Linked DNA regions of Macaca mulatta. The protein of the gene in region 1 purifies or fractionates together with the protein of each later gene. This does not show direct contact. Links are inferred from orthologs where the notes say so. Each region holds a gene or a part of one and is shown on either strand. Other genes may lie near its edges.

Evidence for each region. The genes of interacting proteins can lie anywhere in the genome.
Region 2: the proteins of LIN37 (region 1) and RBL1 purify together in Homo sapiens (affinity purification with mass spectrometry; 3 studies listed by BioGRID and IntAct, with this or other methods). This does not show direct contact. The link is inferred for Macaca mulatta from reciprocal best matches to the Homo sapiens genes LIN37 and RBL1.

The regions. Positions count from the first base shown.
Region 1 is NC_133424.1:46,996,017-47,000,187, forward strand, and holds the start of LIN37 (protein lin-37 homolog), read left to right. Parts: upstream 1-1,305; coding exon 1,306-1,489; intron 1,490-1,544; exon of another isoform or gene 1,545-1,742; intron 1,743-4,171.
Region 2 is NC_133415.1:89,942,186-89,945,832, reverse strand, and holds part of RBL1 (retinoblastoma-like protein 1), read left to right. Parts: intron 1-762; coding exon 763-896; intron 897-3,647. UniProt on the Homo sapiens protein: Key regulator of entry into cell division. Directly involved in heterochromatin formation by maintaining overall chromatin structure and, in particular, that of constitutive heterochromatin by stabilizing histone methylation.

The DNA of each region.
Region 1 (4,171 bases):
GTGGTACAATTGGTCTAGTGCTTCCATTTCTAGGGGCTGTTACCCTGTACTGGTAGTCGTGAATTCAAAAACATAACTTTCCTACTGTGGGCTTCAGTATTCTCATCAGAAGTGTAGATCACAATGCTACCTCCTAGGATTTATTTGGACCAAGATGTGTGATAAATCCAAGTTTCCCGTTTTCTGAAGGAAGTGTTGTCTGCAAAAATAAAAATAGTCAAGAGCTTTCTCAGAGAATCCTTCCTTGACCATCCATCTTATTTTAAATTCAATCACCACCTTGATATTCCTATGTCCGTTTAAGGCTACACTTTTTTTGTGGGTTTTTTTTTTTTTTTTTTTTTTTTTGGTGGGGGGCTGGGGATTTGTTGTTGTCTGTTTTTCGAGATGGAGTCTTGCTCTGTCACTCAGGCTGGAGTGCAGAAGTGTGATCTCAGCTCACTGCAACCTACGCCTCCCGGGTTCAAGCGATTCTCCTGCCTCAGCCTCTGGAGTAGCTGGAATTACAGGGGCATGCCATCAGTCCCGGCTAATTTTTGTATTTTTGGTAGAGACGGGGTTTCACCATGTTAGCCAGGCTGGTCTCGAACTCCTGGTCGCAGGTGATCTGCCCACCTCGGCCTCCCAAAGGGCTGATACTTACAGGTGTGGGCCACCATGCCCTGCCCAGACTATATTCTTTCTCCTATTACATTTCACTTAGAATGTTTTACTTGTTTACTGTTTATCTTCCATCCTTTAAAAGATAAGCCCTATTAGGGCAGGGATTTTTGTCTGTTCTGTTCCTCAAGGTGTCCCCAATGCCTAGAAGAGTGCCCGGCATACTAATAAATATTTGCAAAATGAATGAAGTTGTACCTGCAAAGAGATTAACTGGTACCTGTCACCTAGAGAGTGCTCAGTGAAAGGGAACCCAACGTTATTTTACATTAGTCTTCCTCTTAGGGATGAAGGGACTCCAACGGTTGGTTAAATATGGTAAAGAGCTAAATTGGTGTTGCTCAACCCTTCTAACACTACAAGTCCCGGGAAGCCTCGCGATGCCCTAATCCTTTGTTTCCCACCGTGCCCCGCGCGGCGCAGGCGCTGTTACTCCGGGTGGGTCTGGGAACCTGGAACTACACCTCCCAGGAAGCTTGGTGGTCGATGGTTTGTTTCCGGAAGCAAAGCCCCAGGAGGGTGGGACCTAAAGCTGGGAGACTAAAGAGGCAGCTCTCAATTGGTCAGGATGTAAGATTGACGACTGCATTAACTAATAGGAGCAAGCTGCTGCCGAAGGGGCCCGCCCACAGAAGGGTGGTGGCCATGGTCCAGGCTGAACACAACCAAAGGCGGAGGAGCTGTGGCCCACGAAGCTCATCTTTGAACTGTCCCCGCCCGCCTCCCGCCTTGATTTGTGACCCTAGGCCCTTTGGGGCGCCTCTGACCCAGCTAGCCAGATCCTGGACCCAAACCATGTTCCCCGTGAAGGTGAAAGTGGAGAAATCAGGTGAGGACCCTGACGTCGGGGGCCTGTCGGGACCATCGGGTTGACAGGGTGTGGAGTCCCGGTAGAAGGGAGTATCGCGGAAAGAGGACTGCACGACTTTTCCCTGCAGCCCACCTGACAATCGCTGTATCAGGCAGCGAGCGTTGGCTGCCACCTTCACACCCTCCCGGTCTGCGCTTGAAGTCGCTTTGAGATTGAATGGTGGTGGCTCAGGCAGTGCGGTGCGTGGTAAGATATGGGGAATCCTGAGCCGGTAACTCTGAGAAGGGCCCTTTTCTCTTTTTTTTAATCTAAATTTTTTAAATATTTAAGTAGAGACGGAGTATCGCTATATTGCCCAGGCTGGTCTCGAACTCCTGACCTCAAGTGATCCTCCCGCCTTAGCTTCCTAAAGTGCTAAGATTACAGGCGTGAGCCCCCGCGCCCGGCCGAGAAGTTCTCTTTTCTTGGCTTCCCCTCAGTTTCCCCATTTCCAGCAGTGATCAGTCACACATACTTGCTGTGAGCCTGAAGTACAGGCACTCTTAATCCTCACAGTCACTATATTCCAGTAATCCTAGGAAATAGGAATTGTGGTCATTGGGGAAACTGAAACTTAGATCATTTTGGGTTGGGGCAGAGCTGACCGGATCGCAGGCCTGGCATGGTAAGGGCAGTGGGAGGGGTGCAGAATTTAGACAGAAAGATAATAGTAAAATGATGTAGGATGTCCCATGGCAAAAGTGTTATCAAAACAAAGTGGCAGGCCAGGTGCGGTGGCTCACGCCTGTAATCCCAACACTTTGGGAGGCCGAGGCCGGCAGATCACTTGAGGTCAGGAGTTTGAGACCAGCCTGGGCAACATGGCAAAACCCTGTCTCTATAAAAAATACAAAAAAAAAAAAAAAAGAAAGAAAGAAAATTAGCCAGGTGTGGTGGCACGAGCCTCTAGTCCCAGCTACTCAGGAGGCTGAGGCAGGAAGATCGCTGGAGCCGGGGAGGTGGAGGTTGCAGTGAGCTGAGATCACACCACTGCACTCCAGCCTGGGTGATAGATTGAGACCCTGAAAAAACAAACAAACAAACAAAGAAAAAACCAAAAAACGAAGGAAGAGAGAGAGAGAGAAAGAAAGAAAAGGGAGGGAGGGAAGGAAGGAAGAATAAAGGAAGGAAAAAGGAAAGGAAAGGAAAAGGAAAGGAGAAAGAAAGAAAAGGAAGGAAGGAAAGAAAAAGAAAGAAAGAAGAAAAGAAAAGAAAAAAAAAGAAAGAAAAGTGAAGTGGGTCTGACCACAAATGATGGTGAGGGAAGGTATACATCTCTTAGTACCAGGCTGAGGAGTGCAGACTCCACCCCTGGGTGCTGTAGAGTCATGGAAGGTTCCAATGGAAGGTTCCAAGCAGGGGAAGATCAGGGTCAGGTTTGTTATTTTTCTGGAAGATTCCCCTGGCTGCCTTGTGGAGGGTGGATCAGAAGGGGACACTGAGGTGGGAGCCCAGGGGGAGCAAAGGTCTGGACCAGCATGGATAGAGTGGAGAGGAGGTAGGTGGGAGAGACACTAGGGAGGCCTAGTGGACAGGTCATGGGATTGCTGGGCTGGGGTAGGGGAGAGAGAGGGGTATTCATGGTGAGGTACAGGGAGGAACTAGGGGACAGTGAGGCGACCCTTGAGAGGGAGGCTTCAGGCCCAAGTCGGGGGTTCAGGAGAGAAGCTGGGCCTGGGGAGAGATCCGTACCCTCTGCATCCGCCCAAGGCTTTGCTGCAATCTCAGCTACTCCCTTCCCCACCCTCACTCTGTCTTTCCTCTGAGCTATGTTTGAATCCCTGTGTCTCCTGACCTTCTCAGGAAGTCCCTGGACTGGTCAGGCAAGTTCCCAGGTATCCCCTCCTGGCTCTGAGCACTAGAGCCAGAGCTCCCACCAGTCAGAAAGGCAGAGCAAACACCTCTCAAAGGTAGGACAGCATAACATCATCACTCCCTCAAGTTCTGTGATGATGGGAGGCAGCCACAGGCTCACTGGGCAGGAGGGTGGGCCTAGATCTCATTTCCTGAGGGGAAAAAAAAAGTCCAAACAGGATGTTTTAGGTGAAATCTCCCAATTTTGGCCGGGCATGGTGGCTCATGCCTATAATCCCAGCACTTTGGGAGGCTGAGGTGGGTGGATCATGAGGTCAGGAGTTTGAGACCAACCTGGTTAATATGGTGAAACCTTGTCTGTACTAAAAATACAAATATTAGTTGGGCATGGTGGCACACGCCTATAGTCCCAGCTGCTTGAGAGGCTGAGGCAGGAGAATCACTTGTACTCGGGAGGCAGAGGTGGCAGTGAGCCGAGATCACGCCACTGCACTCCAACCTGGGCAACAGAGCAAGACTCTGTCTCAAAAGAAAAGAAATCTCCCAATTTTTAAATGTCAGCTCATTCAGATTGAATTCAGATTTAAAATTATACCACTGTTGGCCGGGTGTGGTGGCTCACGCCTGTAATCCCAGCACTTTGGGAGGCCGAGGCCAGCAGATCACTGAGGTCAGGAGTTCGAGACCAGCCTGGTCAACATGGTAAGACCCCATCTCTACTAAAAATACAAAAATTAGCCAGGCATGGTGGCGGGCTCCTGTAATCCCAGCTACTTGGGAGGCTGAGGCAGGAGAATCGCTCGAACCTAGGAGGTGGAGGTTGCAGTGAGCCAAGATTATGCCACT
Region 2 (3,647 bases), on another chromosome or scaffold:
GAGTTTTGCCATGTTGGCCAGGCTGGTCTTGAACTCCTGGCCTCAAGTGATTCACCTGCTCCAGCCTCCCAGGCATGAGCCACCGTGCCTGGCCAGTATTATAATCTTAAGTGACCACCATTGTATATGTGGTCCACTGTTGACCAAAATGTTATGTGGCATATGCCTGTATTAGATTTGGAGTGTAGGTGAAAGTGAAAGAGTTATCTTTTTTTTTTTTTTTTTTTTAAAGAGACAGGATCTCGCTCAGTTACCTGTCTTGGAATGTAGTGGCACAAACATAGCTCACTGCAGTCTTGCATTCCTGAGCTTAAGCGATCCTCTTATCTCAGCCACCCAAGTAGCTGGGACTGCAGGCAAGCACCACCATTCCTGGTTAATTTTTTTATTTTCGTTTTTAGAGTCAGGGTCTCACTACATTGCCCTGGCTAGTCTTGAACTCCTGGCCTCAAGGGATACTCCCACTTCAGCCTCCCGAGTTACTGGGATTATAAACATGAGCCACCAAGTCAGGCTTTTATCTTTAGATTAATATTAATTTATCATGTTATAGTTGTAAAAGCACAGAACTAAGAGTAAGGAGTTTTATACCCATTACTACAGCTAGCAGCTTTGTGACCTTGGGCAAATATCTTCACTTCTCTGGCCCTTTATCTACATAAGGAAAACTGAGACCAGATAATTCTACATCTCTTCTTTCCAGAATTAAAGCATTTTAACGTAATATTATATCTGTTTTTCTGTTTGTCTTTTGCTTGCCAGGGAGAAGTTACACACTGGTTGGCATGTTCATTATACGTTGCATGCCGCAAAAGCATTATTCCCACGGTTGGAAAGGGTATCATGGAAGGCAACTGTGTTTCACTTACCAGAATACTACGTTCAGCTAAATTAAGGTAAACCTCTTTCATGTTTTTAAGTGTTATATAAGCTCTAAATTTTAGAATCAGTTTTCTCTTGTTTTGAAATCATTTGACTTCATTTAATTTTTATTTTATTTATTTATTTATTTATTTTTGAGACAGAGTCTCACTGTGCCAGCCAGGCTGGAATGCAGTGGCGCAGTCTTGGCTTACTGCAATCTCTGCCTCCTGGGTTCAAATGATTCTCATGCCTCAGCCTCCCAAGTATCTGGGATTACAGACACACACCACTAAGCCCGGCTAATTTTTTGTATTTTTTTTAGTAGAGATGGGGTTTCACCATGTTGCTCAGGCTGTTCTCGAACTCCTGACCTCAAGTGATCTGCCTACCTTGGCCTCCCAAAGTGCTATAGGATTACAGACGTGAGCCACTGTGTGACTTCATTTAATTCTAAGTTTGTTAAAACGTAGATAATCCTTTCCCAATTTTCATATTCTTTCTCTGCCTTTCACAAATTCTGCTAGAAACCTCTGTGTTAAATCTTTAGCTATATTTTTTTAAATTAATTTTTTAAAATTTGGAAATAATTTTAGGCTTACAGAAAAGTTGCAAAAATAAGAAAAGGACAATACCCATATATCCTTGACTCAGAGTCACCTGTTATTGACATTTTACCCCTTTTGCTTTCTCATTTGATTTTTTTTTCTTCAATATATAGATCTGTCTCTCTTTCTCTCTTTTTTTTTTTTCGAGATGGAGTTTCGCTCTTGTTGCCCAGGCTAGAGTGCAGTGGTACAATCTTGGCTCACCGTAACCTCTGCCTCCCGGGTTCAAGCGATTCTCCTGCCTCAGCCTCCCGAGTAGCTGGGATTACAGGCATGTGCCACCACGCCTGGCTAATTTTGTATTTTTAGTAGAGATGGGTTTCTCCATGTTGGTCGGGCTGGTCTCGAACTCCCAACCTCAGGTGATCCACCTGCCTCGGCTTCCCTAAGTACTGGGATTACAGGCGTGAGCCAACCTTTCCGGCTAGACCTTCCTCTTTTTTTCCTCAACCATTTCAATCTAAGTAGCATACATTTATAGCCTTTTACCCCAAAATACTTCACTGTGTATTTCTTTAAATAACTACAGTACAGTTACCAACTTCAGCAAAATTAACACTAATAAAATAATTTTATCTAACCAGATATCTCTGTTCTAGTTTTGTTAGTTGATTCAATAATGTTCTTTATAGCATTTTTTTTTCTGGAAGTACAATTTCTAATTAAGGATCAAGTATTGCATTTGCTTATCATGTGTATTTATTCTTCTTTAATTAGGAACATTTCCACAGCCTTTCTTTTTCTTTTATGACATTACCATTTTGGAGGAATATTATCCACAATCACTTTGTCCCTTTCTTTAATTAAAAAAAATTTTTTAGAGACCGGATCTTGCTCTGCCCAGGCCTCGAGTACAGTGGCACCTTTTTAGCTCACTGCAGCCTCAAACTCCTCAGCTCAAATGATCCTCCTGCTTCAGCCTCCCAAGTAGCTGAAACTACAATCATGTGCCACCATGCCTGACTGATATTTAAAAATCTTTTTATAGAGACAGGGTCTCACTGTGTTACTCACGCTTGTCTCAAAGTCCTGACCTCAAGTGATCCTCTTGCCTCAGCCTTTTTTTTTTTGGGACAGAGTCTCACTCTGTTGCCCAGGCTGGAGTGCAGTGGTGCGATCTCAGCTCATTGCAACCTCCGCCTCCTGAGTAGCTGGGACTATAGGCACATGCCACTACACCCAGCTAATTTTTGTATTTTTGGTAGAGATGGAGTTTCACCATATTGGCCAGGCTGGTCTCAAACTCCTGACCTTGTGATCCACCCGCCTCAGCCTCCCAAAGTGCTGGGATTACAGGCATGAGCCACTGTGCCCACCCTCATCCCCTCTTTGAATAGATGGTTCCCAATTTTGGATTTGTCTCCTATTAACTTTTGATAAGATGCAGGTTATTCATTCCGTGATGGAAAACTATATAAGTGATTTTGTGTCCTAAGGAGATCACATCTGATGATGGCACGTGTTATCCACCTTCATCTCATTGGTGATGTTAATTTTTATCATCTGGTCAAGATGTTGTCCTATTTCTCTACTGTATATTAATTTTTTTCCCCTTGCAGCTACTCAATGGGTCTCAGATACATCTTTTACTTACTCTAGTATCAAGCATATAGAATTATTTGTCTGGATAGGAAACGAAACAAATTTAGCGATCCAGTTTAGATTCATGCTAATGAATATAATAATATTCTTTGTTTCTGGGACAAAACTATTTGTGGTCATTGTCTATTTGCTATTCCGGGTTTCCAGAATAGAAGAGGAGCAAAGTTTAAAGCCCTATCCAGGAATGGCAAATAGATTTTAGTTCATGCTAAATTTAAATTTTTTTTTTTTTTTTTGAGATGGAGTTTCACTCTTGTTGCCCAGGCTAGAGTGCAATGGCCTGATCTCGGCTCACCGTAGCCTCTGACTCCCAGGTTCAAGTGATTCTCCTGCCTCAGCTTCCCCAGTAGCTGGGATTACAGGTGTCTGCCACCACGCCTGGCTAATTTTTTGTATTTTTAATAGAGACAGGGTTTCACCATGTTGGCCGGGCTGGTTTCAAACTCCTGTCCTCAGGTGATCCACCTGCCTCAGCCTCCCAAAGTGCTGGGACTACAGATGTGAGTCACCATGTCCAGCCTAAAAAAAAAATGTTTTTAAACAATTTTGGTTCTAAAAATAAAATAAGATGATAAA